Caenorhabditis elegans: one gene and its partners. The protein of the gene in region 1 interacts with the protein of each later gene in a pairwise test. Each region holds a gene or a part of one and is shown in the gene's direction. Other genes may lie near its edges.

Region 1 (12,640 bases):
TTGAAAAATTTCAGCAAAAAAAAATGTTGACCTACCAATTATGCCCGCCAAAACCCTTGTTTATCTAGATTTCCGCATAATTTTTTCCAAATTTTTCAACAAAAAAAAAATTATGCTCTGCTACAACATCATTTCTTTCCCATGAAACTTGAAACTTTTGAGAGGTTTCTTTTTTTTTTGAAAATACTATTCTCTGCACCAAGAACTCCAAATTTTTGCGCGTGCTCTCAATAATTCCAAAAAAAAAAATTGAAAAAGGGGGCAGAGAGAGAGTGGGATTAGTGAAATTTTATATTTATATGCCAAAAAATGCGGGAGACTGAGAGAGAGAGCAAACAATTTTTTTCCTGCTTTTTGGCTACTCAGGAAACATAACAGCTGCCTGAAGATTTTTTTTCTCTAAAAACTTTAATTGGATATTTTCATTAACCTTGTCTTTTTCCCCCAGCAATTCGGGTCACCCCCTCGGCCACCCACACCACGGTGGTGGCCTAGAAATTTAAAATAGTTAGAACTCCGCTATTTTTTAACGGGCTTGGCTGAAAAATTACCAGAATACTCTATAGGTCAAACTCTGTGAGTTAAAACTCCAAAAAAAAAAAAAAAAAAAAAAATACAAAATCCAAAAAAAAGAACGTTTTTGACCTACCGTACCGGCCGCCAGGATATTTTCGTATTTTCCCAAAAAATTTCTTCATTTTTATTAACGATCATCACGAAAAGTTTTACGATCATCAATGTTGTGTTATCCGTCCAGATGACTATTTCCTCCCCCCTCCATCGCCGTGGAAGCTGATGGGGAGAAAATGATGGGAAAATTAGTTTTTTTTTCTTCATCTCTCTATTCATTTTCTGTTCATTCGGAGTAGTTCCAAAGTTTTTGTTTTTAATTATTTTGTTTCCTAGGATTTTATGAACATATTTTTCTCCGTTCCTTCTTTTTTCTGATCAAATTACTCAGCTTCATAAGGAGCTCAGACTTATTGTCGAGCATTTGAAAATTTGCGCGTCAAATATGGTGCATTGACGTAAAAATGTGGATTTTAACGATGCACCATGTTTTACATGCAATTTTTTGTGGAGATTGAAAAATACCGAAAAATTGAGTTTTTGAATTGTTCCTCACAGCAATTTTATCATCTTTTCAATCTCTTTCTCTATTAAAATATATTGGTATTGAGTGGACTCGAACCCGTGACCTTCCGAACATCAATCCCCACCACTACCGACTGAGCCACTCGGGACAAGAGCCGCGCGTAGACTGTGCCACATCAAAACTTGCGCGTCAAATATGGTGTAATCATTTTAAGCCACCAACAACTACCGTAGCCCTCACAACTATATATCTAAAATCATATAAAATCCTCAAATCTGTTTAGTCGAATTAATATTATATATCAAAACTAGTCTCTCTATATATGTAGGCCTCTCTCTCTCTCCCACGAAAAGATAAAGTGATTCCTTAGGCGAGATGGGTTTTTTGAAAGAAAATAGGCAATTAATTTCGAATCGCCGCTCCGACCAAATGCCCCCCGTCCGTCCGTCCGTCCGTTCATCCTGACTTCGTTCACTTTTCCAACCAATTATAGGCGATCGTAAAAATACAGCTTTTTGGAGGGAAGAAGCTGAGAGGACACTCTCTCCGCCCCAGCATATATATATATATATATATATATATATATATATATAATATAATAACAGCCACCTCCTCCCCTTAGTTCTTCTGGATTTACTATATCGTTTTGTCGGAGCGGGCGGTGCGCGCCCGCGCGCCGGAGGCGTACCGTTAGCTTTTTCACATTTTTCGTCCAATTTTTCGTCCAATCATTTGTCGAAAAATATACGGTAGCTTGATTTTTTCAGTTACTATTTCCTCCGTATTTCTACAGTAGGTAGGCGCACCTATATACCTTCAGTTTACCTTATTACCACAATGGTAATTTCTCTTTTTCTACCTTTGAACCGATTTCAACATATCGTATCTCACGTGCAAATTTTTTTTCCATGGCACGGACTCGAACCCCCGACCTTCCGAACACCAACCCCAACCACTACCGACTGAGCCACATGAGCCGAGTTGTCCATTGTATCTTATCTAATCTTGCGCGTCAAATATGGTGTTTGGGGCTTTTCTACTAACATTTTTTTCGCTGCGAAACCCAGTTTCGGTTTCAGCTAACTAATTTGCTTTAAAATAAACGTCGTTTTTTTTGTCTTATTTGTTGTGATGAATACAATAAACATTTATGATGTCTTCTCCCCCTCCTCTTTTTCTTCTAAAAAAGAAGACGTTACCAGTTCTGACAATTTTTCCATTCCTCCCCCCCCCCCCCCCCCTCTTCTATTCCATTTACATCAGATATACACATACAGTAGCAGTAGTATAAATGTGTATGCATCTCCTTTTTATTTTTGTATGTAATAAGAAGAAGCGCTCGTTCTTCCTCTCCGATATTTGTTAATTTACACACACAGAGAGGGATGACAGAATTCTTGTATTTTGGGAGGGTGAGGAGATGAATGAATAAAAAAACAAGTCTTTTTACATTCCAAAACCATTTATTCCATAGTATTTTCAATTTGCTTTTAGAGAACATTTTTCAATTTTAGTAGGCGGCTTTGTGGTGCTTTGAGTTTAGAGTCAAGTTAGGGTACTGTAGAACTTGCGCGTAGGATGTGGTGTTTTCCTATGTGTGTGTGTACTATCTGAAAATGTATTTCTTGGGGTACGGTAGTTTTGCGCGTAGGATGTGGTGTCTTCTTGTGTGCACCTTGTGTACAGGGTACATGGGTACAAGGGTACATCAGTGTAAACGCGCTCTATTGATAATTGCAGTTTAGCCAGGTTTGGGCGCGTTTTAAGGAAAAAAGCTTTGGTCCAAAAAATTTTGAATTTAATTTCGAGCATTTTTTATATGCATCACAAAAAACTGGACCAGCCGTTTTTGACAAAAACGCGCCCAAACGTCCAGGGGTACGGTAGACAAATTGCGCACAGGTACCACTTCTCGGGCCGTGTCATATCCATGGGGTACTGTAGTTTTTGCGCATAGGATTCAATGTTTTTGTCCGCTCTTTCAGAAAATGAGTTTCTTGGGGTACTGTAGATCTTGCGCGTAGGATGCGATGCATTTATTCTGTGGACTAGCAATGATAGGGAACCCCACAGTACTGTAGACTTTGCGCGTAAAATCGGGTGTTTTTGTGCGTTTCAGAAATTTGTTTCTCTTGATATACTGTAGAACTTGCTCGTGGGATGTGGTGTCTTCTTGTGTGCACTATCATACTCATGGGGTACTGTAGTTTTTGCGCGTAGGATATGTTTTTTTTCTTCTGTGAGCTACGAACAATACAACTATTTTTTTGACCTACAATTTTGATCTACCTTTTCCTAACACTTTTTTATTAATCTGTTTTTTTGTTTTCCAAACTCACCTTCTCTTATTTCCATTATTTCTAAATTTTTAACAATCTCCTTTTCCAGAATGACATCGCTTCTCGGAGGCAACTTCACAGAAGCTCTGCACACAGTGCTTTCCAATCAGCTTAACGTCATGTCGCAAAAGACGTCGGATTCCGAGGCTCCAACGACATTCAGCTCATCGTCTTCAAGTGATTCACCGCCATATGACCCAATGTCGCTGGTTTCTGCAGGAATTTCTGATCAAAATGGATTAATGGACATGTTCAAGGATGGATTGGTGAGTTAAAAGTTTTTTCTCTGCAATAAAAAGTTTCGACCAATTAGCGACGTCCGAGTGGGCGTGGCCAACGGCGTTGATTGGTCGGACTGGTTTTCCGCCATGCGAGCTGCAATTTCTTTTAAAAATGACAAAATAAGAAATAATTTTCAGTTTGCCACACTCGTACCACCAACAGATGTCGCGAATTCGGACACGGCGAGCTCCGAGTCACCGGAGCCAGCGGCTCAATCGCATGAGGCTGCCGAGGAAACAGGAGGAACAGAAGAGGTTGGTGAAAATGTGAAAAAATTTTTTTTGAAAAATGCAAATTCTTCTCTTTCTCGTTCTGTTCACCTATCCAATATGAGTCAGAGAGAAGACAGAAATTTCAATATTGAATTTTAAATTTTGAAAAAAAATTGAATTTTTCCCCACCCTGTACTCTATTTTATTTATTTTTCGTTTTTCTCATCTTCAAAAAAAATTTAATATTTTTTCAGCAACAAGCCGCCGCCCTCTCACTGATCCAATCATTCGGCACGCCGATCCCATCAAAATTCGAAGACATTGAATCCCAGTTCTTCTCCGAGGCCACAATTCGTGACCTGATGCCTGTTCTCGCGTCTGTACAAGGATCCCCACCACACAATCAGAATCAGCTCAGCTTCGGATCCACGTCATCACCGTCGGCGTGGGCGAGGAATGCCGGAAGGAAGAAGTCGCATCCAGTTTGGGATTTCTTTAAGGATATGAAGGATAGCAGTGAGTTTTTTTATTGGTTTTTGTGGCAAGTGTGCTCTATTGGACTCTGCGTTTCTACTGCCTAAATTTGGAAAATTCTTAGAATACGTATTACGCGACATATTTGACGCGCAAAATATCTCGTAGCGAAAACTACTGTAGCGCTTGTGTCGATTTACGGGGTCAATTTTTGAAATTTTTGAAAAAAATATTTAAGAATATTAAAAATCTGCAAAAAATAAGTAAATTATACGAAAAAATTAAAAAAAAAAAGAATTCATTTCAAAAATTGAGCCCATAATTCGACACAAGCGCTAAAGTAGTCATGTAAAGAATTACTGTAGTTTTCGCTGCGAGATATTTTGCGCGTCAAATATGTTGCGCAGTACGCATTCTCAGAATTTTGAGTTCCCGTAATAACTGTGAAAATGTATAATTTTTTGTAAATGTTTGTAAATTAGAAAAAAATTGTTTCGACATTTTCGCGTTTTCTAGCAAAATTCATTGGTTTTTAAAAGATTTTTCTAAAAACATTTGCGTTCTGGAATACCAAAATTTTCAGACATTTTTTTCTGCTGAAAAATGGAAAAAAAGATGAAATTATGTAAACATTTATTTTTAGGCCAATTTTGAAGTTGAAAAAATGTCTGAAAATCTGAAAAACAGTAGTTATTCAAGTCAAATAAATTTTGAAAATAGGCTATAAGTTTTCGCGGGAATTTGAATATACCAATTTTTAATTAAAAACAAAATAAATTCTCAGATTTTATTCGGCAAGTACGGCCTATTTTCCATAATTTATTTTTAAAAATAATTTCCATAAAAATTAAAATGTTTGTTATAATTTTTATGAGAATCCACTGTAGTGGAAAAACCAATTAAGGAAAACATTTTGAAATTCTCAGAAACAAAAAAGAATCTCGGATATCCGCGCAAATTTCGGGGAAATTTGTTCTAATAATTATTTTTTCCATACCATCACCGAATTAAAAGCAACACTAGAGGTACAAAAATATAAAAACAACCAAAATTTTGCAGCCGGTGCCGGTGGAGTCATCTGCCTACACTGCTCGTGGAGCGGCGACGATCGGAGCCCGAACAACCTGCGAACACATCTCAAGAAGTTTCATTCGGACGACGGGATTTTCAATCGATTCAGCGAGAAGTTGGCTAAGGTGGGGTGGCGGTTTTTTATGTTTTTGAATTGGAAATTTTGTTTTAAAAACTGATTACTGGGTACTGAGCCTGCCTGCCTGCCGCCAATTCTCTGCAGTGTAGGCGCGAGGCAGGCAGGTCATGTTTGGAACGGCCTAGTTTTTAACTGGTGGTGCACGGCTCCCCAAATTTTCAGAGATCACATAGCGGGGAAATGGGTGCTGTAGCTTTAAAGGAATACCATGATTTTTTTTTGTACTGAACTAGGGTATAAAGCCCCCACTCATAATAAGGGGCCAAATGTTGACACGGTCCCCCTCACACCAAAATATGAGAGGGGGGGGGCACCTGTGTAAAAGTACCCTTCTATTTCTCCACAAGAGTCGGGGGGGGGGCACTCCGATCACATTTCGATGACCTCGAATCCCCCGCGTGATGAGAGGACAAGTGCGCGCCGCGCGCTCCCCCCGACCGACCACCCCCGACTGGCCGACAGTCCATAGGGCGACCCAAAAATGGAAAAGTGGACCGTCATCACACACAACAGGATCTTCCACCATCTCTTCCTCTCTCTCTCTCTCTCTCTCCGTCATCTCGGGGCGCTCGCGGTCTCTCTTTATTAGCACAGGCAGCAGCAGTAGTGTGTTTGTGTCTCTCGAAGACACTATCCCAATGCTTTCCCGTCCCGTTTGCTTTTCACATTCCCGACCTCTCCGAGACCTACCGCATTGGGGAAGAAAAAGGAAGCAAAGATGGAGACGGGGGGCGGGTCCCCCGCCGCGGGGGTTTTTTTGCCGGCCAAGCCCCAGTCTAGGTCTCCTGCCGCCCCGTGTTCACTAGCCCCCGCCGTCGCCCCGCTCCTCCGGTACTCTCTTTTCCCCCCGTTGTTGGATAGTTGGAGGGGAGGGGGGGGGGGGGGGGAAGACCTCCTTCCCCCTTCTTCTTCTTCCATTCCGAAAGAGACGGGGCGCGGCCCCCTTCGTCCTTTTTCATCTACCCCTGTCATCATCATCGTCGTCGTGTCTTCTTTTTTCGTCTTCATCTCCTCCTTATTCTTCGCCTTCTCATTTTCTCATTTTGCGTCCCCCCCCCCCCTGGTCTACCCTAACTAACAACTGGATTTTTGGATCTGACGAGATGTTATTTTTAGCCCCGGCCCCCCACCCGGGCTTGTGATTTTTTTCCGGGCTCATTTTGTAGTCCGGGGAGCCAAAAATTTTGAATTCGTCGCCAAGTTGGGCTGCGGTCGGAAAAAATCTGAAAATTTTAAATTTTTCGCTAAATTAGTTCGACCCTTTTTTGAGATGAAAAATCCACAATAAGTTTTGAACAAATTGGACTAAAAACTCGAATATCTCGTCCGTCATCCACTTTCTGACGGGAATTTCTAATTTTGCTCCAAAAATGAGCCCCAAAATTTTTTTTTTTTCGGTCATCAGAGGTCCGATTTTTTAGTCCCTAAAACTTTAGGGCCCCAAAACTTTAGTCCACCACCCCAAAAATTGAGGTGCTTCTCCCCCCGTCCAAAAATTGTTCCTCCTCTCCACAACCGCCGTATGTGAGAGTATTTGTGTACATGTGGGCGGTGTGTGTACGACGAGGCGGGTCCCCCCGTGTCTACCGCTCGTGCCCCGTTTTGACGCTCCTCTCATCTCTTCGTCTCTTCTTCTTCAACACTACCTCTCCTCTCGTCTCTAGTTCCACGGGGCCTTTCCGTTCTGTTATCGATTCACCCCGTCGTCTCGGGGCTTTTTGCGAGACAGAGAGAGACACATACACCGCCCTCCCTACTCCAGCGCCGGCGGGGAGAAAGACGCGACCGGCCACACTCCTCTTTTCATTTTCCCCCACACAACCACAACTTTTGTGGTTGACTGTCTCCAAAACATATACCTTTTCGATTTTTTCCCTCGTTCTTTTCCTCGCTCTCAACTTTCTTCCTTCCGACAGTACCACTCATATAAATCCAGATGGCCCGTCGAAAGCAACAAGAGTCCACGCTAGTCATAGATCCGTCCCACTCCAAGGATGACTCGGCATTCTTCGAGGGATCCTCCGGCTCCGATGCTCCCTCCACAATCGACACCACACAGCTCATGGCTCTTCTTGAGCAATCTGCTGCTGCCGCCGCCGCCGCAGCCGCCGCCTCATCCAGCGAAAACCCCATCACCTCATCCTTGCTCAAAAAAGATCGTACCACCACCACCACCACCGAAAAAGAGCTCTCCCCGTTGACAGCGGCGCGCGCCAGTGAGATCCTGTTCGCCGCAGGAATGCGACCACACAAGAAGACCTCAGAAATCTGGGAGCATTATAAATGTCTTAACGAGAAGCAGAATGTTGAGTGCATCTATTGTTGGAAGGTTCTCAAGCGGAATGATAGTAGTACCAAATCAATGTGGGGTCATATGAATGCATATCATCAGGATATTTTGAGAGATGGCACCACCCGAAAGAAGGTCAAGAGACCCGCGAACGGATTGGATTTTGATGAGGTACCTCTTGCTACAGTACCCAGTCTATCCAAAAGTATCAAACAATAAAAAAATATATTAAAAAATTTAATTTCTAACTGATATATTGTATACTTAAGAGACTTAACTCTTATCTCATTCCAGACTCCAACCCAACCGTACGTGAAGCGTGTCCGTGGCGGAGCCGGATCCAGCTCCTCGCTGCCCTCCATGGTAAAAATGGACCAAAAGCCCATGCTCGACTCGATGGCCTTCCTGCAACAACTTCAGCAATCGGGATCCCTGACAGAAGCCGACTTCTCCTCATTTGCCAACGGTTCCTCACTCAACTTCCTCGACTCGTTGCCCAAATCCTCAGAGGTGATCAACATTAACAGTGGATTTGTGAAGAAGGAGGAGATGGAGGAAGACACTGAAAATCATGTGGAGGTGAGTGGCTTATCAGTGTTAAGAGGCGACGGGGAGGGGGACACGTCAATGTGCTCGGGCAGAAATTGACAGGAAATATTTGGGAAGGGGGACCTGATAAGGACCCCAAAATTGATAAGGGTTCATGGAAATTTTGGGGAAACTGCCCATTCGAAGAGTATGATAGAATTTGAGCGCTTATTTAAATGGGCAGGGACTGCGCCCGACACCTACCGGGTTAGCGGAACCCGGCAGTTGTCGGGCGCTGAAAAACAAAGTGCGATTTTCTTAGGAAAGCTTTTTGATGTAAGTGGCTGCACCCGACATCTACCGGGTTCCGCCACAGAAGCAGCTGGCGCTTGGAACCCTCTAGATGTCGGACGCTCGAAAAATCTACAAAAAATTTACGAAAAAACAGGGACCGACATCTAACGGGTTTCTTGGACCGCCCTACTTTTTAACTTTCAGTGCGGAACCCGGTAGTTGTCGGGCCGTGCATATTAGGAACACCCTAGAGACTATTTTCTTAACCCAAAAAATTTCAGGCCGCATCCTCCTCAAGCTCCGATGAGCGCATCAAGTCAGAAACCCCAGACACATATGGATCGCCGAACACCTCCACCACTGATCAGAATGAGCAACTCGCCGCCTTCGTGAGCAGTCTCTCTAACTCCAATCCAATGATGTTCGCGATGCTCAACGCGGCCGGCAACTCGACATCCTCGGCACCAGCACCTCCAAAATCGAGCACAAGCCAACAAAGATCCAGCTCACCACCATCCGCGCACGACACATCGAATGGTTCAATGTCACCGTCAAAAGTGGACAAGGATCCATCGTCGTTCTCACTGAGCGAGGGACACTGTGCCGCTCAGCTCATGTCGATGGCACTTGACTTGGAAATGACAATGTCCTATCACAAACGACGATCCGAGATTGAGCTGTGTTTTGAGAGCAATCGGACTGTCGATGAGTCACAGGGAGCCGCTTCTCGAAAAGTTATATGTTTGACTGATCTTGGAAAGGAGATCAAGTGAGTTTAGCGTAAAACATCGGAAATTTTCGGCTCTAAAATTGAAAAAAAAGAGTCTGTGAAAGGGGGCGGGGTTTGAAACTTTCACGACCATTAAATGGGCGGAGCCTATAAGTCACGCCCATAACGTAGGATCGTCTAAAAAACTTAACAACAAAATCACAAAACTTTATCCCTACATTTTTAAGGAAATCGCTAATAGTAATTATTTTTTCCTGACAAAAAGTGGTTAAAAGTACGCGGATCCTGCAAGCCACGCCCATCACTATGGGCGGAGCTTATTTGAAATTTCCAACTATCTGGGCGGAGTCACAGAAACTCGTCAATTACCTAAATTTCAGAAATTCCTTTAAAAATTCCGAAAATCAGTTTTTTTTTAAATTTGAAAATTTTTGAAAAAATAAAGAAATAAATTTTCGAATTTTTTCCGAAAAATTTTCTCCGAAATCTCTCAACTATACATTGTACCTAAAATTCCAAATAATCATTTACTTATTTTCAGAATTACGGAACGAATAAACGGAAGCGTAAAAGACACGGAACTTTGGGTGAAGACGGATTTCAATCAATTCCATTGGGCGATACGTGGAAAATGTCAAAAATGTTTTAATAAGAATAGCTCTTAATTTATCGATTACCTGTTATTAATATATATCGTCGCTTTATTACAACCATTCCTTTTCTTAAAAATTTTAAACTATAATACATATATTCCTCTTTGCAAATGATGAGACGTCTCTTGTCTCTTGTCTCAGCAGCCGACGCTTCCCGGGTTCCGCCACTTGTAGTGAAACCCCGCAGCAGCCGACGCTCTCCACAACCCGTGAGACGTCGGCCGCCTGGGCCAAGAGACGTCTCGTCGCCAACCCACTCTTTCCTCATGCGCTGGTCGTTTTTGTGTACACTCTAATATACCTGACACACACTTTTGTGCCCTATTCCCCCCAAATAAAAAACTACTCAAAAAAATTTTCCTTATCAAGATTACGGTAATATTGTCACGCCCCCTTAAATATCATGAACATTTCCATCGCCCCTTCCGCCTAACTAGGAACTTTATACCTTTATTTTATTACAAAAAATGCCTTCTCTCTGTGTTTTATAAATTTGAAAACATAAATTTTAATTGTTTATTTTTCTTGTTGTTTTATGAAATAACTTTTCAGAAAACTTAGGCTCCGTTCCTTTAATGGTGCCGGGAATAAAACAATTTGGCGCGAGTACAAATTTTAGTTTTTCAAATGCATTTTGGCGGGAACTCTAAATTTTTTGGTTCAATAATTTTGGTGGAAATTCAAAATTTAATTTTTCCAATATTCATTTCGGCAGGAATTAAAAGGAATTAAAGACAGGATTTCTGATTTTTAATTAAAAAAAAAATCGATCAAATTTGAATTTTTTAAATTGAAATTTTGGCGGGAATTCAAAATGAAATTTTTGTGCAAATTTTGGATTTTTTTTTGGTGATTCAAATTTTAATATATTCGAAAAAAAAAACGTTCTAGCCGAAAAGTTCAAATTTAATTTTTTATTGAGTTTCTGCACGGATTTCTGCACGGGCGATTGTCAATGGAGCGCGAAAAATTCAACGAGGAAGACCAGAACACCATGATTTTAGCGGAAATTTTAATTTTAAATTTTTCAAACAGTCGTCAGCGAGAATTTAAAATTTAATTTTCTATAAACGTTTTGGCGGGAGTTCAAAATATATTTTACCAATTATTTTGCGAGAATTCAACATTTAAATTTATTGAAAAGTTTTGGCGGGAATTTTTAAAATTATTAAATTTTTAAATTTTTAAACCCTTATAGTATAAAAAATTGGACGGAGCTTGGAAGCCACACCCTTTTCATGGCCATTATTAGGGCGGAGCGTCACAATAATATTATTAGAGGCAAAATAATTTAAAAAATTTATTACTAGAAACTTCTAGAAAGTTAAAAAAAAAATGGTAGTCTAAAAAAAAACTAAAAAACAACAGAAAAATGAAAATGTATTCATATGCAAGAAGAGAATGTGATTGACCCGTTGGGTACACATGGGGAGGAAAGTTTGACACCTGAAAAACACTAAGCATTTTAAGACAATTTAGGCAATTAATCCACGTAGGCACAAAAATGCCTACCTGCGTGCCTACAAGGCGCAGTCATACGTGGAGAAAAATACAGAGATCGGGGTTGGAGAGATGACGAGCAAGGCACGACAAAAAGAGAAAAACTGGGAGAAGAAAAGGTGTGATATGATATTTTTTGATAGAGTATTCTGGCTAATTTTCTATAATTGTTGCGATGTACGGGGCTCGATTTCGAAGGAGCGCGATTGCTCGGCATGCGACGAGGAAACGTCGGACGAGTAGCTGAAAATTTGGGTCTCTCATAAAAGAAAATTAAAAACATTAAATTTTCCAGTTTCCAGAAAATTCTAAAACTTTCCAAAATTTCCAAGAAATTTGGAGCACTTTTAAAAAGTTTCATAAAAAATTGAAAAATTTTATTAAAATCTGAATTTCCCGGCAAATTGAGGAAATTCAAATTGGCAGAGAAAAATTTTGGTAGTACATTCAAATTTATAAGTCAACGAAATGTCCGAATAATTTTAATTTCCTAAGACCCCAAAAAAATTCTCACCCTCCTATCCGAATCGAAAAATCAATCTGATTCCTAGACCTCAACTGCCGTCTTCTAGGACAACTTCTGGTTCTAGGAGCCGTTGGTTGGAGTGAAGGACGTTGATGAGATGATGGGCGAGTTGACGAGGGTATCAGGTGATGAGTGGTACGGTAGGGACGTGTTAGACGAGTTGATCGACTGCTCGGGGCACTTGGAAGATCTTCTGATGGTGATGTTCGTGGCAGGAGGGAAGTGGTGTCATCAGAGCGACTGAAATAGAATCTTAAAATATTTAAAATTTGGATTTCTAGGCCACCGATTCTAGCTTGGTGGCCTAGAAGTTTATAACTGGGATTTCTAGGCCAGCGGGTGAAGTTTGTTAGAAGTCTGAAATGCACAGTGTTAAACTGCTAGGATAACCTAGAAACTAAAATTTTGGGAATAGTGGCCTAGCATTTCGGCCAGCGAAAAGTACAATGGCCTAGAAATTGAATGTTGGGTTACTAGGCCTTCGGACTAGTGACCTTGTTCTTTGA
Region 2 (12,886 bases), on another chromosome or scaffold:
TCCGTTTCATCTCTTATCTGTTCTTTCGATTTACCTGATCAGAGGAGGCATATAAAAGGAGACGAGATGAATGTGGAACACTATACTTTTCAAATTAGAAGCTTTTCCTTTTTCTTTTGAACTTGCTAACTTTATCTTTAAAACTTTTCTCAAAGTCTCTGTGTTTTCAGAAAATGGTAAAGGCCGTCGTCGGATTCGGCGCTGCATGCGGAATCTCTGCTATCGTTGCTTGCCTTTGGGCTGCACTTGTCATCACAAATGACATCAATGACATGTATGATGATGTGATGGGAGAGCTCGGAGGATTCAGAGATATCTCTGATGACACTTGGGGAACCCTTCTCGACGTTCGTCACGGAGCCGGAGAGTCTGCTGAGCAATACGTTCGTGGAATCTTCGGACGTCACAAGCGTTCCAACAGCCAATGCTCTTGCGGACTTCCATCTCAAGGATGCCCAGCCGGAGCTCCAGGAAACCCAGGAGCCCCAGGAGAGCCAGGAGGCACTGGACCAGACGGAAAGAACGGACCAACTGGACTTCCAGGACTTAACATTCCAATTCCAAATGACTTCCCTAAGGAGTGCATCAAGTGCCCAGCTGGACCACCAGGACAAGATGGACTTCCAGGACAAGAAGGATTCCAAGGACTTCCAGGAGACGCTGGAAAGCGTGGAACCCCAGGAAAGGACGGAGAGCCAGGACGTGTTGGAGATATTGGAGATCAAGGAACTCCAGGACAAGACGGACAACCAGGACTTGCTGGACCACCAGGACGCGATGGACTTACCGGAAAGGGACAACCAGGAGTCGCTGGACGCCCAGGAATGCCAGGACCACGTGGAGAGCCAGGAAACAACGGAAATCCAGGAGAGGAAGGACAAACTGGAGCCCAGGGACCAACTGGACAGCCAGGAAAGGACGGATTCAACGGAAACGACGGAACTCCAGGACAAGCTGGACCACAAGGAGCCGTTGGAGCCGATGCCGAATACTGCCCATGCCCAGAGAGAAAGCGCAGACGCGTCTAAACTGTTTTCGTATTCAAAAATAAATATTTATGTATTCAATTGAAGTTTATCACATTTTTTGAATAATTCTTTTTGAAAATACGATGGCAGGTCTCGACGCGACTGAAAGACGTAAGGGAGTTCGCGCCTTTAATGTATTTCTAACGCTCCGCCCCTGAAGATTAGGTCTCTTTAGGTATTAGGAGAACATGTTCTATTATTTTTATGCTTCATGAATTGATGCAAAAACAACTGAAAAAATTTACTTTTAAAAGAAAAAATGTTTGAAAATCGGCGAAAAAAATAGAAAACGTTTGAGTTTACAGTTTCGCCGCCTATATATATATATAGGGCCCCTATAGGGCGCGCGCCTAATACCTAACGAGACCCATGCTTCGGAGGCGGAGTGTGTACATTGGTTTTTTCTGCGTCCCTATAATAATTTTTCGAAATTGTTTTCTAATACTAAGTGAAAATAAATGGAAATTCGAAGTAAGAAGAAAACAATTTATGAAAATTGCACGTTTTGAGATTTCAAAAATGATTACGATTTATTTTTCGAAATTCGAAATTTTATAACAAAACTTCAATATCAAATATAGCTTTTCAATCGCGACAAGACCTGATTCCGCTTCTTCAAACTATTTAGATGATCTTTTGTAAGGCTTATCACGTTGTTATTTAATACTTCCGATTGACTATTTGCATAACTTCTCACGAGGTGCAGTATCTTATCAGCTACAAGATTCAATCTTATGATAGAACAATAACAGGACAAATGTTCATTATCATTTACAACTTCAATAGGGCAAATAGAAATTCAATAATAAATAAATAAAATCAGAAAATTGACAGCTTGCTCTGAATTAGACACTTCTTCTGACTGAGATTCTGGTGATAAAAAGAGGCGGGATCCTAAGGTGCTCATCGACCCGCAGGAGAGAAACTAAGGTCGATTAGTGAGGAAATACATTTTAAAAGATAAATCAACTAATAAAGAGGAAAGATGAATTGATGATGTTTGGTGATTTGTTTGAGGATTGAGATTGGAGATCGCAATTATTAATGACACGCATCGGTTTGGAACGAATCCGTCACTTCTCCATCACAATTTCGGAGTTGGAGAACTGCAAACAGCCAATGTCCAAATCCTGCTCCTAATACCACCGCAGCAGCTGAAAAAATACACAGAATTATTGATTTAAAACTAGAAATTTGTACTTACTTAGATAAGTGTTGTAAGTCATCACAATGAGCATGAGCCAATAGGCGAGCACCAATTGAAAAATGTACAAGAGCATCTGAATGAGCCGTTGAGGAGAGAATGGCGAAGTTGCAGGGGTCCTCGCTACCGAAGCCGATATCAGGAACGGTTCAGATTGAGGCTTGTTGCTCTGTGAGTGGGTAACCGATTGATGGCAAGTGCCTCCAGAAGACCGCGTTGTCTGAAGTGCAAACTAGGTCGGATAAGATATTTTTTAATGAAACATAGAGAAATATAAAATTACTTACCTCCACGCATGATTTGTTGGCAAGAACCTGAGCTTGTGTTTGCGTCATTTGCAGAAATACACGGAACCACTTGACACCTTCATATGTGGCGCCCATAATGAAAATAGCAGCACACGATAAAAGCATACCTGAAGAGTTGTTAAAATTAACTAACAGTTAAGAAATAAACTTGAATTGAATAATGAAAATCTTACCGAAAAGTGAATCCGTCCTCCAAAAATCGAATAGAATAACTTCTTCAAATCCTCCATGGAACCACATTTTCATCATATGTCCCTCGTGTCCACCATGACCTGCGTGTGATCCATGAGACGAATGTTCATGATGTTCATTTTGATCTTTTTCATCGGGCACAGGAACCGCTTCTACTTCTTTTCCAGCGAGCTCATCGAGAAAGTTGTCTGCAGCTTGTGCGTAAGCACTCTGAAATGCTAAATGTTAGATTTTTGAAGCAACTATTAAAATTAAACCTTATTTTCTGCAGCAGCAACCACCAAAGCCACAGCCAACCATCCTAGGATGGCCAATTGTGTACCCATGATCTGAAAATATATGACGTAACATGAAAATCAATAAAAATTGCGTTTAATATGACTAGAAGTTATACAAGATAACAATTTCAACTGCAGCTTCAACATTTTGCGACCTTTTATACGCAACCTGTCATGAACATGCATTTTATCGAGATGGAAAGTTTGCAAACAAGAAAACTCCACAAAAAAAATTGTCTAAAAATTGCAGCACCAAATGCGCTCTACTGAACTGACAGCCGGTGATTTGGCTGCGTACCTTGGCTTATGGTTAAGAGAGTGATACTCAGCCAACGACCGCCCTTTTTCTCTTGAAATTAGCTTTCAGTTCTTTTTTATCGAATTTCAGTTAAGTTTTTGTACTATTTTATGCGAATTTTTATCCCAAGCAAGCCTCTTTACCTATATTTGACTATTCTTCACGAAAAAGTATGTAAAAATCCACTCTTTATTATTTTTTTCTTAATTAAATTTAAAAAGTTGTTTTAATTAATTCGTTTGCTTGCATACATTTATTAAATTTAAATTTTGCCTAATTTCTTAATTTTGCAGGTAATGGCGCAACTCATGAAACGCGGATTCTCCACGAGCGCTGCTCTCGCTAAGGCTCAGCTGGTGAAGACCCCGATTCAGGTTCATGGAGTCGAGGGACGTTACGCCGCCGCTCTTTACTCAGCCGGACACAAACAGAACAAGCTCGACCAGATTTCCACAGATCTGAACAATGTTCGCTCCGTGTACAAGGACAACAAGAAGTTCCAAGAGTTCGTCCTCGACCCAACTCTCAAGGCCAACAAGAAGAAGACCGCCATCGAGGCTATCTCAACTAAATTGGGGCTTACCAAAGAGACTGGAAACTTCCTTGGTATTTTGTTAACGTGTAATTACAAATTTAATTGTAACTTTCAGGACTTTTGGCTGAGAACGGACGTCTGAACAAGCTCGAGTCAGTTGTTTCTTCATTCGAATCCATCATGCGCGCTCACCGTGGAGAACTTTTCGTTCAGGTACTTTTATTATAACTGCCAAGAAAAACAATGTTTCTTTTGAAATTTGTTTTCGTAAAATTATAAAATATGAATAGCGAATGTTTTCAATACGTAGAAATGGAAATTTTCAAGTCTAAATTTTAATCCTGAAGATGCTCGTACGTACCGTTTTAAAAACTAAAAATCATTTTCAGGTCACCTCCGCCGAAGAATTGAGCTCATCAAACCAGAAGGCATTGTCTGATGCCCTTAGCAAGATCGGAAAGTCTGGACAAAAGCTCACGGTGACTTATGCCGTCAAGCCATCGATTCTTGGAGGACTTGTTGTCACTATCGGAGACAAGTACGTCGATCTGTCGATCGCTTCCCGTGTCAAGAAATACAAGGATGCCCTTGCCACCGCCATCTAAATTTTTCCCAAAAAATTTAGTTCCTCATCCCGATTTTCAATCTGTGCTTCAAACCAGTTCCCTGCCTCATCATACCCAATCATTGAAGATGGTGTTTTAAAGAGTTGTTTAGTAATCGGTTTTATGTATTGTCTTCATTTTCTAGTGGGTCATAACATCAGCAGTGTAATTGTTTGTTCCAGAATTTTAAGTTTCTTTATTGTACTCTCAACAAATAAATAAATAGATCTGTGAAAAATTTCAATTATATTGACCTCGTTCTGTCGGTTACCATTTACTTCTTAATAATGTTTTGAAAGAAAACAGAATAAAATTATAGAAATTTGAGAAACAGAAATGAGTGATGACTCGGATCTTGATGACGTTGCTCATCAGAAGCTTCTGCAATCAATTCACACACCTGGAACTGTAAAGAAAAATCGTCTGAAGAAAGCATCAAAAACAAAAACCGACGCAACTTCTCTTCTATCTCATCTTACAGTTTCAAGGTATTTGAAAAACAAATTTTTTTTTAAATTTAGGATTTTTGCAATTTTACAGACCTTCAACCAACAAAGCCAAGCAAAGTCTCGGAATTGGTGGCCTAGAGTCGACAGAAAAAACAGGAAAGAAGCGAAAATCGGAAGCAACAGCAGATGAAACAACTACGAAAAAGAAGCTGAAAAGCAAAACATTAATTCCTCTAAAAGATGTTGAAGCTCGAAAGGAGATTGAAGGAAAAATTGCGTTCACTGATTTGAAGTGAGATTATTGATTTGTGATTTAATTAATAAGATATTTTTACAGAAAAGAAGTGACACAAAATTGGACAGAGCTCGTTCAAAGCAACCGCGTCAGTGATCAATTGATCTTCCCTCTCACAAAACCGGATGGAATTATGTGGGGTGTAAGTTGTTGCTTCCAAATTAAACTGTTCTAAAATTTAATAAAAGTGGAAAAATTGCTCCTAATAATTATTTTCGTTCAGGACGAGAAAACCGAGCCCGTACTGACCGAAAAGGAGATGGAATTGATGAAGGCTACAGATATTAAAATGGCAAAAGATCGTCTTTCACAAATGCAACGAATGCGTGCTATTGTTGGAATCCAAGAGGCCAAGAATCGATATATGAAGAAAATCAAATCGAAAGGATATCATCGAATTCTAAAAAGAGAAAAACGAAAACAACTTTTAAAAGAGTTTGATGATTTGGTTGCTCGTGATCCATCCGCTGCTCATGAAAAACTTGCCGAAATGGATTTACAGCGAATCATGGAAAGAGGAAGTTTGAAGCATCGCGGACAGAATCAGAAATTCAAACAGATGCTGGAAAAACATGCTAGCCGAAATCCAGAGGTCAAAAAATTGCTCGATGAGCATTTGAGGTTAGATATTAATTTTGGAACAAAAATTTTAAAATGGGAATATTTTTTCAGAATGGGAAGAGAATTAAAAGCAAAAGTCGCAACTACCGCTGAAGATTCTGATGGTGAAGCTCCAACTTCAACGGAAGATCCACAAAATAAAAAGAAGAGTATTCATGAGTTAATCAAGGTAAGTGAGACATAAACTACTAATTCATTAGACGGATTCAAGTTCTCAATAAGCTTTCTTCTTATCTGCACCGAAAACATCTTGATTGAGACCAGCCAGGGTTTGGTAGTTCGGGTCATGAGTTGCAGCCTTAGCACCATGTTGAGCAGGAGCTTTTGGTGGAGCTGGTGCACCATTTCCTCCTCCTCCACCTCCACCAACACCACCTTTTTGATCGAACACGTTGTTATTCAAACCAGCAAGAGTCTGATAGTTTGGATCGTGTGTTGCAGCCATTCCAGGTTTACCTCCTGCTGCTGGAGCCTGTGGTCCTGCTCCACCACCACCTTTCTTATCGAAAACATTATCATTCAAGCCGGCAAGAGTTTGATAGTTAGGATCATGAGTTCCGGCCATTCCTGGTTTTCCGTCCGGAGCTTTTGGAGCAGCTCCACCACCACCACCGCCTTGTTTTTGCTCAAAAACGTTATCGTTCAATCCGGCCAATGTCTGGTAGTTGGGATCATGGGTGTCAGCAATTGCAGCACGATTTTTCGGAGGCTTTGGAGCTCCGGCAGGAATCTTTCCCTTTTCCTTGGCTGCTGCTTTTTTCTTTTTTGCCGCAATCGCATCGTTTTTCTTCTTTTTACGACGCTTTTCATCATCCTCATCATCGTCATCATCATCACCTCCAGTAGTTCCTCCAGTTGTTCCTGTTTCATCTGAGTATTTTTTCTTTCCTTTCGACTTCTTCCCGCAGTTCACCAGAATAGCTGCCGGAACTGTCCAACACAGAGCAAGTTGCAGAAGTATCATAAAAATTGGCTGAAATTTTTATATTTTTTGGATTTTTTAGTTTTCAAACAATACCTGTAAACCAAATAACTCCATGCTCATCATTTGTGATATAGTTATCGATATATCCACAACTGTAGTTTGAGATCGAAGAAATAAAAATAAAAGAGTTATCAAGTAGAGGATTTTGAAAAATGATGATTTATTCTTCACGTAGTAACATTCTATTTTTTAAAATTTTATATTTAAAATTAATTTTAAAAAATTTCAGGATGCCGCCCAAGAAGCGGAGAAAGAATCCAGAAAACAAGTTGGCACGGCTCTAGTTGATACTTTCCTCGAAGACTCCGATGCTCAAAAAGTGACACTTGCTCAGATGCGAGCCAAGAAACGACAAGAAGCTGCTATAACTCGAAGTATTTCAGCGAATACTGGTGCATCACGTGAAAATCCTCTATTCGACGTCGATGACACTTGGCAAGAGAAAGAAGATGCGAAAAAGGCAAAGCAGAAGAAAAAGAAGCTACTAAAAGCGAAGGAGTCAGCGAGAAAAGGAACAATTGGAAAAGTATCATATGTTGATAAGAATTATGATCCGAAGATGGAGGCTAAACGTGCAGAAACTTTTGATGAAAAAGTGGAAAAGGCAGTGGATTCAGCTGGAGTGCATGCCGCTGAAAAACGACAAAAGGAAATTGAAATCGATCCGAGCAAATTTCTAGAGCTCAACACAAACGACTTGACACAAGTTTCGTCGGATTTTGTTGAGAAAATGGATCAGTTTGATGAAGGTAAGCTTAATCTTTTTTTTTCTTTTTATTAACTATATTCCAACGATTTTTTCCTGCAGAAGCCGCTCAAGTTATCAATGAAGCTTTCAAGGATGATGACGTCATTGGAGATTTTGAAGATATGAAAGAAGGAGTGAAAGAAAAGGAAAAAGTTAAAGATGTAGATCTCAATTTGGCCGGATGGGGCTCATGGGTTGGACCAGGAATGACTGAGAAGAAGCGACGCCAAAACTTTGTGATTAAAGCAAAAGAGAAGAGAAGAAGGGACGGAGAGAGAAACGGAGTAATTATTGCTGAAAATATGACGGCTAAGGATGTAAGCACCTGATATATCTCCTAGATTTTTTAATTGCAAAAATGAGCTTTCAGGGTATCGGAAAGATCCAGCCACGTTCTCTACCATTCCCCTACTCCCGAGTTGAAGACTATGAGGCTGTGCTAAAACAACCGTTGGGTCTTGAATGGAATATGGAGAAGATGCGAGATGAGTTGTGCAAACCTGCGGTTGTTGTTGAGGTAAGCTTTATTATATTTTACAGTTTTATTGAACATGAAAATTATGTTGAAACAAAGAGAAGGAGAAGAGAACCGTGAACAGTGGAAAAAAACGAGTGAAAACAAGGAAAGAAAGGCATTGGACTGGGAGTGTGTGATGGGTTGGACCTGAATTGTTTCAAACAAAAAAAAAGTTGATAAAACAACAGATGAAGTGGTTATAAGTAGGGAAAACATGAATAATTTAAAAATAATTAGTTTTGATCATCCGAACTAGACGAAGATCTTGCGAAGTCAATGACATGGCAACGATTCCTCCAAATCAACGAAAACGTTTTCTTCCGTGGTGATTCCTCGAGCGTACTCGTACATTATGACATACAAAGCATGATCATCGAGCATATCGTAGTCTTCCTTCTCGTCCAGTTGTTCCTTGGAAGATGCTTCCACCTCTGCAGGCTCTAAAGTCTCTAGCTTCTCTGGTACAGCTGGTTCTTCTTGTTGTGGAACCTCTACGAGTTCGACTGGAGTAGTGTCTTCAGTAACCGCGTTGACAAGTGTTCCGACGGTTTCAGCTGCAGATGTGACCATTTCTGATACGGAATTCCAGATGGAGGTTGCATAGGAGAAGTAAGACATTTTGAGAACTTGTGGTTCTGAAAATGAAATAAGTTTTAGTCATTTTAGATAAGGAAAATATGAATAGAAGGGCTGAGGAAACAAACACGCAATTTCATAATCTATTGTGCCAAAAAAGGGATAGTTACGAAATCGAGGTAATATGGAAATCAAACTACATAGAAGAAATTAAGAACATAGAGCCTAGGTAAAAAAAACGACGGACGACTGAACACCCAACGTATGGCAGGCTGCCAAATAGGCGTGACTGTGCACAAAAACGCTCGATCTGATGTAACAGTATACACCTTTGTAATCAATAACTTTCTGGCGGCTAACGAGACCATTTGATTATTATTCCAACATAGTAGAGGAAGAGAAGAGACAATATAGAGTCCCAGAATATGGATCAATATAATAGGTTTTTGAGAGTTGGTCTTTTTAAATTTGGTTTAGAAATAAGTTTCGATAAGTTTTTAAAGAATACAATTTTTAAAATCTTCATATTATTTAAAAATGTAAATCGAAAATAATGAAAGAAGAAACTGTATATATTAGAGAATCGAGTAGTAGTAGTGTTTAGAGAATTAGAGATAAAAAAATACAGTACCCCTATGAGACTCAGTGCAACCTTGCATATGCTCCCCTAAAATCATATGCAACTATTTGGTTTTTTTTAAAATCAAATTGCACAATATTTCGAATTTTCAGCCGAAAGAAAAATTCAAAAATTCTTGCAACTTTTGTTCACAATAAATTTTTTCAAAACTGATTTTGATATAATTTCGGAATAGGGACCACTTTTTACATTTGAGACAGCTCTTTTCGATTTTAAAATATTTAGAAAGGTGTATAATGTCACAAAATATAAGCGAACATCTATCATCTGTGCATATATATGCACTGGCACGGGAGACAGGAACCGAACGGCACATGTGACGAGTTCATTTTGATGTCACAAGCTTTTCCCTTTTTCGTTAAAAAAAAAGTAGACTATAAAAACAAACAAACACTGTTCTAACAAGAAAATATGCAAAAATGAACACGCAAACTGGCGAATGTTGTTCGAGTTGTAATAGGTTGCGAAATTAACCGATAAGAAGCTCGATATTCTGTTATTAATAGATTTTTTACATTAAGTATTGCCCATGATTTCTAACACCTCAAATCCCTGTTGTCTTTGAAATTTCTTGTCTGAAGTAGTTTTTATTGCCAAGGACATTGTAGAATTGATCACGTACGAAAGTTTATTGTGAAACATTGTGAAAACCGGTAAATATTACCGAAAACATGACATAAATTGGACAGTAATATTAAAATAGACCCGAACATGTATAGGATTTCTTCGTTCATCCCAGATCATTTGGAATTCTTCATCCACTCGTAGTTGTTTTGCACCATCTCAAATTGATTGTGCCTGATTGGACCCGTCTCGTCTGGATTCTCATGGATCACTTCCCATTCGATCGATGTATTTGGTGACGATGCTCCTATCGCCTCCTGGTGAACATCCTCTGTCGTCTCCTTTTTATCCTCTTGAAGATCAGACGACGCCGCCGCCGCCCCTTGTTGCTCCCATGAGAAGACTTCAGAAGAAGCCGTGGCATCCTCTGAGCCAGATCCCCACTCGAGAGCAGTCTGACTGATTTGTGTTAGAGCCTGTGTTGCTCCTTCGGCAAGTGCAGAAGCTCCTCCAACAAGGTTCGCTGCCTGTTCTGTGACTGCTGGGACGACGGTTGTGGACATGAAGGTGTAGAGTCCATTGACGATGGAGTTCATTGTTTAGTTGTAGTTTTCTGAAAAAAAATAATATATACAAAGAGACAAGTTAGACCGGCAACGGAAGGAAAAAAGAATGAAAGTGAAAGTTCGAACGGAGTAGGATTTACAACAGGATTGACTTCATAAAAATTTAAATCAAGTGCATGTATTTTATCCTAGTGTACTATCTGCCTAGATTTTTTGAATCTAGGTGTAATATTTACGGAAAAAAAAGAAAATGAAGAGACAAAGTAGATATATCTCCGATGTGCTCTTTCTACCACCAGAATGCGAATGGCAACTAATGACTAGTAACAGAATAAGAAAGACGAGAAGATGAAGAGGAACGCTGTGTTGTCCTTACGTTCTTCCTATGTCTCTTTCTCTTTTCTCGTATCGGACAATCCCTCCCCTTAGATGTGTGCGCGCGCGCTGCTTCTCTCTCTCTATTCACGTTTATGAGAGAACGAGTCATATTATAGATTGTGTATGTTGGTTAGAATGAGACGCAGGAAACCGAATGCTCCCAAACGGGTGCAGGTCATCTTTTTGTGTAGAGGTTGGTGGGTGTTCATATAGATCGGAGAAAGAATGACGAAAAATGATTGACAAGAGAATACATATTTGGATTGGCTCACACCTGTATTAATTGAAGAAGATCAGTGAGCTAGCGAGGAAATTTGAATAACTTTTAAAAATAGCAAGAAAACTTCTAAAGATTATCATTGAAGAGGAGCAATTTTCTAGACGTTTTAGTTACAGTAATCCCTGTGTTACAGCAAATCTTGTCTCCTCTTCCAAAAAACCATTACAGTAATCATAAATATTGGAATTATTTGAAATCAACCAACAAAACTTGCAATTGAAAATTGTTAGAATCTATTTAGAAAGAAATAAAAACATCAAATATATGTTTACACCATGACGAGTCACTAAAACTAATCGAGTTGTTGACTGAAAGTAATTCAAAATCATCGTTCGGCGCCGTACATTCTGCTGGGTTTTCACACGTTCCTATTACATTGATAAGAACTTGAAATGTTTCAAAACATTGTTGAAGCTCGAAAGAAAATCGATGATGTGTGTGTTGCTTCTAGGGACAGCTTTTCCTCACTCAGCTGTGAAATGCTCTTCTTCTCCTTCTCTTACTTCTTTTCTCCAACTATTTTCACATTTTTCCCCTCATGAGTTACTAGACACAAATTTTGAATAAAATTTCTCTATTTATAATATTTATATTTTCAGGCTGGAAGAGCTATTCGTCCAATCAACAAGAAGCATCTACTCGGAGAATAATTGGAAGAATTGTTAATTTTTTGTTGATTTTTTAAAAAAACTTTATTGTTGGTTTTCTCTCTTTGAAGTGTCACCTGAAATGTTCGTTGTTGTTAATTTTATATGTTTTCTTTACGGTGAAAGTTTAATTGAGACCATTTTCTCATTATTTTCTCAATTTTACATTTCCTGTAATTCTTTAAATGAAAAACAAATTTTTTAAAAAATAATTCAATTATAATCAGTTTTTTCGTTATGGTGGATATCCCCAGCAATTTATTTGAAATTTGAAAATATAATTTTTGTTGTTAAAATAATATTTTGAAAAAGTTGGCAACGAAACCCAAAGTTTTGAAATTTTGAAATAAAAATCTCAAAAAAATGTCTGCTTTTCGCTTTCGAAAGTATTTAAAATTTAATTTTTTAGGGTATTTCTCTATTTAATCATGTCTCATTAAAATCAACATTAAATATTGAACTATTCTTCATTTTTCCAGATATTTTCTAGAATTGTTTTTTTTTATTTTTAAAAACATTTTTTGTCGGTTAAAAACCACTAAAGATTTTGAAAAAAAAATTTTCCATACTTCAATTTTTTAATAAACGAAAAATTTGGTTTAAAAAAATCTGAAAACACTGCAACAACAAGTTTTTCTGACAAATTTCTCACAAGAACCTGCACCTTCACTATTTTTGAGAAAATAAACCCCAAAACGTTTTTTTTTTCGATGTTCAGTTTTAACCAAAAAAAAAAGGTTTTGATTTTTTTAAATTCGAACAAAAATTTATATTTTTCGGTTTTGAAAGAAGAAGTGAATCTCGGTGATCAGCACGGAATGGCACATGCTCTCAGAGAGATACAAGCACACAGTATTCTCATGAAAAATCGTTTGTAAAGCTGCCCCATCCACGCCCAATTCTCATCGCCAGTCAGCTTTTTCTCCACTTTTCGTTTGCTCTTTTCCGTGTGCTCACTCACTCACCCTGCGCCTCTTCTGATTCAGCGTCTGTGTCTCTTATAATTCAACACTTTTTCCACTATTTTTAATACCCCGGGCGGTTTGTGTGACCAATGCTGGCCAAAAAGTACACGTGTCTTTTGCCGTTCTTTTAAATTTGAATATGCTGCATTCAGACATTGATTTTTATGTTTTGAGAAATGTTTTACAACGTCTTACCCTTTCTAAACC
Region 3 (7,281 bases), on another chromosome or scaffold:
ACAATACAGCCGACAAAATTTTAACTACCTGTATTTTTTTAGTTTAAATCCTCTATTTTCATCTGTTTCACTATCAGGAAACGTTCAATTTTTTAATGCCAACGTTTGACATTCAGTACTAAATATCATAGAGTTCAACAGGAATTAATTTAAAAACGTTGAATATTAATGGGTAATTGCTTTCCAAACTTGAACACAATAAATTTTGATTTGCAAAAGCCTAAATTAACATATTTTATAAGGAAAACCAAGATAATTGAAGCAGGTAGAAGCAAAACTAGTTTAATAAAGAGCACAGGTCGATTGACCACACAAATAACAAGTCAAATTGAAGTTCTGAAAAATGTCAAGCAAGGCAATCTTAAATTAGAAAAAAAATCATTAAAAAACTTGAGTTAATTTGATAAATGAGCTCTGTTTTTAAAAATATTTTTTACTGATTTACTTTCAACCTAAAATTTCCAATATCTTCTAACGTAATCATATGTTCGTTGTTCTATGATTGAAAAATCGTCTCCCATTTAGCTTTATTTTCAGAGCGTGAATTAACAAAAACACTTTTAATTGATCAAGTATACAAAATAAATTAACATGTAATAATGCTAGTACATATCACATTTCTAGATATATTTTAACCACACGATGAAATGCAATAAAAAATATTATTGTTTCAGTAAATTTCTTCAATGAATGTGGCAATGATCAGTTTCATCATACTTCAACATCATGAGGGAGGAACTGATCTTCTGGATCATTTCCTCCCATTTGACCTATGACTAATCTTTGTTCCGCTCCCTAGTAGGTTTGAACTTCTTTGTCGTGTTAAACGAAGACAGTGACGAAGGCAAACAAAAATATCATCATACTCTATCGCAAACTGATCGGGCGTCAAAAATGGGGGAGGGCCAAATACCGCCAGCACATGATAGTTCCATCTTTATCTCTTGTGACGTACTATTGAAAAAAATTTCTATAAATACTCGAACGTGGTTACCATGCTCTATCAGTTGTTCAGCTTCACTTCTGGAAAATTCACCTTTTTATTTTACTTTATTTGTTTGTGATTATATATCTCACTCATTTCATTTATTGATCAATATATTTTCAGAAATAATGTCGTACCACGGAAACGGAGGATACAACGCTCCATACGGAGGACACGGAGGATATGCTCCACCACCAGTCCATGGAGCTCCAGGATACATGCCACCAACTGTTGTTCACACTGACGGAGGACATCACGGACACGTTGACACCCATCACCATGAAGAGAGTCACCATGGAGAACATCATGGAGGACACCATGGAGTACAACACTACGAGAGTCACCACGAAAGCCATCATCATGGTGGACACCATGGACATCATTAAGTCTGATGCAATTTTTTAAAAAATTTAAAAAAAAATCTGTAAACTTTCCCATTTGATCCTACTAAGAACAATGATTTACTGTTTTCAAATAATGTTTTCAATTTTGTACATTTGTGAATATAAATGTTTCTTCAAAGTGGTGTGTAGTTCTTTTAGCGACGTGTGATATATACATATTTACATTAGATTACAGAGTAGACGTTTCCAGTTCTTCGACTAGGATAAATGTTCTGAAGAAATTTTTTGCAAATGTATTGACTCTGAATGGATTCTATGATTAACACATTGGGTACATGGGTTTGAACATTATTATCAACCTGAAACATCATTCTATCATTTTCCAATTCTGTTCGTCCCCAGTTCCCTTATATTTCAACTATATATTTTCCGAAGTAATGAAAACGGTAAGTAACACCAAATAAAATAAATAAATCGTTGATCTGCTGGAAATATTAATTTTAGCCAATCGTCTATCTTTAGCCATTAATAGCAACTGTTGAACGATGCGTTAAATTTTGAAGTATGAAAAATGGAAGTTTTCGATGTTCGAAAAATCATATGTTGCCGAATGTTACAACGATTAGCCGACATTTTCCATTAATTCTCAATTTCGACAAATGCGAAGTTTCCCTTTGCTCGAAAATATTGTTGGTCATTCACTCCTGGTCATATGCTGTCGAATCAAAAACTGGGGAGAATCAAAAAAATCAAAAAAATCAATGTGGATGTATGTTGATGTAGAGAATCAATCCGCATTGTCGGAAGTACAGTGTGACACAAAGAAATATTAGAGCAGTGGTGTCAACAGCAGTTCAATTGGATTGTCAGGCCAAATATTCTCGTTCACAATCAGTAAGGAACAAAATCTTAATTTTCGTTAGACTATCACTAATTTTATGTCTAGCTCTTTCTTCTCTTTTCCTTTCTTCACTTTCTTGGGAGTGTCGAAAGACCTCTCTTTCGATGATCAAATATCAATAATATCAAATAGTTTTCTCCTGTATTGTTAATTCCGATTAACATATTAGATGCTAATCACCTCTTATGTGTTCATTTACATATTATTCCAATCCATATAAAAACCCAAGAGAACTCAGTAGATGTATGTTTGATGTAGGATGTATGTTGATGTAGAGATATGATATAATTTCCTTCTAAAGCGCTTCGACTGATATTTTCTGTTTATTTTTATTATTTACATCAATAAATCCTTTTATTATTGCCTACCGTTATTAAAGGAAGAAAGAAAAAAGAAAGAAACTTATCCGAAAGGATAAGTGTTCACATATGCTTCGTCCATTCATTACAAAAATATAATAATTTTACAGAATATACCAATTAGTTATGTTGAACATAATGCATTCGGAAGAGTTTTTACAACAAAAATGAAATAACTCTTTTAAAAAATTATTCATTTTAATTTCTGTGACGAAGATAGATAATCTTTTCAGAAAGACTTGGTCCCATTCCATAATAGATATATTATTGATTCAGTTCTTTTTTCATTCAGTTGTTTGTGAACACAAAACCCAATAAAGTTATTCGATACTGACATTTGTCTAGTGTAAAGTTCAGTTTCCAATGTGTTATCTGCCCAACCTATCAAGAAAGAAACGCTTAACCTTTCCGTGCAGCCAATTTGACATTAAGCACTGAAGAATTATTAAATGCATACTAGAATTTAACAGGAACTAATTGACAAACAGTTTACCTTTAGAACAAAGACTAATTTCCAATCAAAAATAATTGTTTTAAAGAAGTAACTGAGCCCAAAATAAATACCCTGACAACTGTAACTAAGGAAAACAAGTCAATTATATTGTCTACGGAAAACACACAAATAAAAATGATCATATTGGGTTGAATTACGACTCAAATAGTCTATCATGCTCTTTTGATATTGCTTTTTGGTCAAAAAACAGTCCCTCGCAACGAATATACGTGAAAAGCAAATGACAAAGCCACGGATACGTGTACAATGGATAATTTATTGAGTGTCACAAGTGTTCCAAAAATCTGAAAAACTTATTGATCTAAATACTTGAGATATAACTTGATTTCAATGTTTTATTGTTGACAAGGACTGTTTTACTCTGTTTTTTTTCTACTGCAATTACTAATATTCAACGTGTCACGCATAGGTTGTGATTTTATTTTATTTTGAGAAATTCAGTGATATTTTAAGAACACGTCAAATGAAAACGTCAGACTATTACATTAATGGAAACATCGGAAAATAACAAAGGTTCGCTCGTAGAATGCGCATCGCATGTCTTACAATATCTCAAAAGATATCTGATCTGATCACTATTTTATTATCAAAATGTTCAACCCATTTGATATAACATGTATGAAACAAAAAATATTATTGTTTTAAAAAACTTTCCAATGTGACGATCATTTTCATCATACTTCAACATCATGAGGGAGGAACTGGTCTTCTGGATCATTCTCTCCCATTTGGCCTATGAGTAACACCCGTTCCGCTCCTTTAGTTTGTTTGAGCTTCTTTGTCGTTTTGAACAAGAAAGGTGACTAACAAATAAGGCAAACAAAAATATCATCACACCCTCTTATAAACTTATCGAGCGTCAAAAAATGGAGGAGGGCCAAATGCCACCAGCGCATGATAATTTAAACGTTTTATCACTTATGACGTGTGTCCTCCATTGAATAGATTGCTCAAATACTCAAACGCGAAGACCATACTCCATCAGTTTTTCAGCTTTCCATCTAAAAATAGGTCCTTTTTTGGATAAACCTATTTTTCAAAACTGTTCAAAATCTTCTTTTTATCTTATTTCTTGATGTACATTATTTTACCAATCCTTTTTTACTAACTTATTGATTTTTAGAAATAATGTCGTACTACGGAAACGGAGGATACAACGCTCCATACGGAGGACACGGAGGATATGCTCCACCACCAGTCCACGGAGCTCCAGGATACATGCCACCAACTGTTCATGTCCACACTGACGGAGGACACCACGGACATATGGACACCCATCACCACCATGACAGCCACCATCATGGAGGACACCATGGAGGACATCACGGAGGACACTACGAAAGCCATTATGAAAGCCATCATCATCATGGACACCATGGACATCATTAAATGTGATGCAATTTTGTAAAATTTTTGCACTAAGCTGTTAACCTTCCCATATGATCCTACTAACAATAAATGCTTTACAGTTTATTTGAAAAAGATTTTGCAAAAAGATTTAACAAAAAGCATAAACCATGGAAAATCTATTTGGAACTGTTATCCCTTTTTGTTTTTAATTTTTTAATTTAAAAATAACAAAATTTTCCTAAACGCGTAAAACAAATAAGCACGGCAATTTTCAGACTTCATCAAATTTATTCGGTGTAACATAAAATTCAAATAGTTTTGCCAATAGTGGGACCGTCAAGTTTAACTTTATCCAAAGCTCCATACAGCATTCTCTCACTTACAATATTTCAGAAAAAATAATTTCTTCTTGCGACTTTTGTTAAGCGAATAAATCCTTCAAAAATTAAAAATATATTGATTTTTTCAGTTCAGTTTTTTGTCTAGCTGTTTATTCTCCTTTGAAGTCTTTGAAATTTCAAAGTTCCAAATTCGAATCATGATTTGATTTGATTTTTCGTTTTGTTTTGATTTTTTGATTTAGCATTCAAAATTCTGACATTTCCCAAAAGCCTAAGCTATTAGCAATTTTAAAGCAATTCTGAAAAGACCGAATACAAAACATGACATTAAAATGTCATGTGCACACTAAAGATTACGATTTATTTTTAAGCACGCTTTGCGTTTTATGTGACTTGACACTTCTTATCAGTCTGATTTTATGTTTTGTTAGCTTCACCGTAGTTCAAGGACAAAACTCAAGGAATGATTTAAGGAACAAAAATGAAACGTCTGAGAGGTACGGTATGAGCAAATACAAATTCTTTTGACCGAACATTTATTGTGTTTTACGATGGCTCCGCTTCTAATCGGTATTGCAGTCAGACCATAAAATATTTTAAATGCGGGATCAACTAGGAGAAAAAGTAAAACATGTCAAATAGGTGCAATTTTGAATTAACATAATTGAAAAACTAAAGTGAAGATTATAGCGGCTTCTTTAAAAATCCTAAGATTTGATCACTAATGTACATTTTTTGTTGTTGTTCGATAAGTGTTTGGGTGAACAATGATTTCAAAGTCGGAAACGATTGAAGTATTAATTGAACATTATCTGTTGTGTACAACGTTTAGACACATTTAAATTCAACGAAACATGCGTTTTTGTTTTTACGTTTTTTTTTCTAACTGTAAGTTTGAAATACACAGAATAATGTTATTTTGAAGTGAGTGCCAATATCGAAGTATCAAAGTAGAAGTTATTCACTTAATTATAACGTAAACTAATTTTTATAATTATTTTCAAATTTCAAAGCTTCAAAAACACAAAGTTTTTCATCAGGTAATTCCCTTTTTAAAATATGATTTCAATCAGCTTTTGATAATTGAAAACAGGGGCTTAAAAAGTTTTCACCAATAACAAGGAATATTTAGTTCTAGGAAAAATTTATCGTTGTTCACTCTCAATAAAATTTGGAATTGCGTTTTCGTTAATGAATAGAGGTTCCAAACATTTCCAATTGTCTCGTAATAGAAATGCACTACTTATTGAGGAAATACGTTAGAATGACCGTAGCAAGCGGAAAACTTCTTCAGTTTTATTATTTTACAAACAAAAATCCATGACTTTGTACAACAGTTGCAAATGATTTTATTCACTAGTAGGCTTTAGTGAAACGAAAACCAGGCATATAAAAAATTGAAAAAGAGTCATCTTAATAATGATGTCCGTGATGATGGCCGTGATGATGATGATGGTGCCCAGTCATGGCATGTCCCAACTCATGAAGAAATCCATGGTGGTGATGGTGGTGACCATGATGATGTCCTCCATCAGTATGGACATGAACAGTTTGTGGTGGCATATATCCTGGAGCTCCGTAGACCGGTGGTGGTGCATATCCAGATGCTCCATAAGGATTGTATCCTCCGTTTCCGTAGTACGACATTTTCTGAAGAATAAAGTTTAGCGAAGTTATAGCAAAATGCAAATAGGAAAACGTTGAAGAGTTAAAGTTGAAGTGGGAAAACTGGAAAGTCCTGTGTAGAAATGCTGAATTGATGCTAAAATGTCAGCATGGCTTGCTATTTAAACCGAACTCGGCAAGAATTACGTCAGAAAAAAGATAACAAAGTAAAATTAGTCAAGCCCACCTTTATTTTGACATTGATAAGTGTTTTTTAAAAGAATATGACGTACTATTATTATTAGTCATGGGGTTTTTAAGCATCAAAATAAAAAGAAGTGAAAACAAACTAACAAAGTTTTTTGATAAATAGTTATATACACATTGCGAAATAGTTCAGTTTTAAAATGCATTAGGAACAGAAAGAATAATTTTCATTCCATCACGTTTATAAAAATCATGATCATTGAAAACATACTGAAATTGTTCCGAACAAGAAACTGAGAAACACTAAATCCCTCGCATATTTTAAATGCGTCTAACGGTTGAGATATTTATCTGATTTTTTTAACATTAGAGATTGTAGGAGTACTCTGTCGTTTTTAACAATCAGCAAGTGTAACTTTGTTCTAGATTGTTAACCGTTTATGGAACATTACGTCTCATAAAATGTACATTAAAATTTTCGGAACATCATATGATTTGAAACAAAACTATAATGTAATTCAAAATAGATCACGACCAATCATGGGAATCACGTTATTACTGTGATCTGATGATTTGATGAGTGAAATAAAATTGAGTTTACTGGGTTATTTTATACTGAACCGAGTCTTGGCACAAATTAAACATAATAGTTGGCAGGTCGACAGAGTTTTTGCA

What was found.
Region 2: the proteins of bed-2 (region 1) and utp-14 interact in a two-hybrid assay, tested with the Caenorhabditis elegans proteins (one large-scale study listed by BioGRID).
Region 3: the proteins of bed-2 (region 1) and F53A9.6 interact in a two-hybrid assay, tested with the Caenorhabditis elegans proteins (one large-scale study listed by BioGRID).

What each region holds. Positions count from the first base shown.
Region 1 is NC_003281.10:11,461,651-11,474,290, reverse strand, and holds bed-2 (BED-type domain-containing protein), read left to right. Parts: upstream 1-3,482; 5' UTR 3,483-3,485; coding exon 3,486-3,701; intron 3,702-3,854; coding exon 3,855-3,971; intron 3,972-4,183; coding exon 4,184-4,445; intron 4,446-5,462; coding exon 5,463-5,599; intron 5,600-6,301; exon of another isoform or gene 6,302-6,484; intron 6,485-6,529; exon of another isoform or gene 6,530-6,648; intron 6,649-6,670; exon of another isoform or gene 6,671-6,842; intron 6,843-7,549; coding exon of another isoform or gene 7,550-8,074; intron 8,075-8,197; coding exon 8,198-8,482; intron 8,483-9,006; coding exon 9,007-9,494; intron 9,495-9,996; coding exon 9,997-10,120; 3' UTR 10,121-10,626; downstream 10,627-12,640. Other genes in the region: putative E3 ubiquitin-protein ligase plr-1, read right to left, coding at 11,770-11,851, 12,123-12,374.
Region 2 is NC_003279.8:5,420,339-5,433,224, reverse strand, and holds utp-14 (Small-subunit processome), read left to right. Parts: upstream 1-4,767; 5' UTR 4,768-4,784; coding exon 4,785-4,936; intron 4,937-4,988; coding exon 4,989-5,189; intron 5,190-5,234; coding exon 5,235-5,334; intron 5,335-5,415; coding exon 5,416-5,813; intron 5,814-5,864; coding exon 5,865-5,982; intron 5,983-5,995; exon of another isoform or gene 5,996-6,027; coding exon of another isoform or gene 6,028-6,786; intron 6,787-6,831; coding exon of another isoform or gene 6,832-6,861; exon of another isoform or gene 6,862-6,952; intron 6,953-7,027; coding exon 7,028-7,547; intron 7,548-7,606; coding exon 7,607-7,863; intron 7,864-7,916; coding exon 7,917-8,063; intron 8,064-10,019; coding exon of another isoform or gene 10,020-10,439; intron 10,440-11,666; coding exon 11,667-11,717; 3' UTR 11,718-11,915; downstream 11,916-12,886. Other genes in the region: Cuticle collagen dpy-5, read left to right, coding at 174-1,028; F27C1.2 (Copper transport protein), read right to left, coding at 2,070-2,182, 2,233-2,464, 2,520-2,647, 2,714-2,942, 2,990-3,058; atp-3 (Oligomycin sensitivity conferral protein), read left to right, coding at 3,419-3,478, 3,602-3,914, 3,959-4,056, 4,233-4,448; F27C1.3 (Dauer Up-Regulated), read right to left, coding at 6,028-6,786, 6,832-6,861; F27C1.4 (uncharacterized protein), read right to left, coding at 10,020-10,439; erp-44.1 (Thioredoxin domain-containing protein), read left to right, coding at 12,533-12,584.
Region 3 is NC_003284.9:8,710,755-8,718,035, reverse strand, and holds F53A9.6 (Spore coat protein), read left to right. Parts: upstream 1-4,231; coding exon 4,232-4,492; downstream 4,493-7,281. Other genes in the region: F53A9.7 (Threonine dehydratase), read left to right, coding at 1,114-1,371; F53A9.1 (Spore coat protein), read right to left, coding at 6,208-6,441.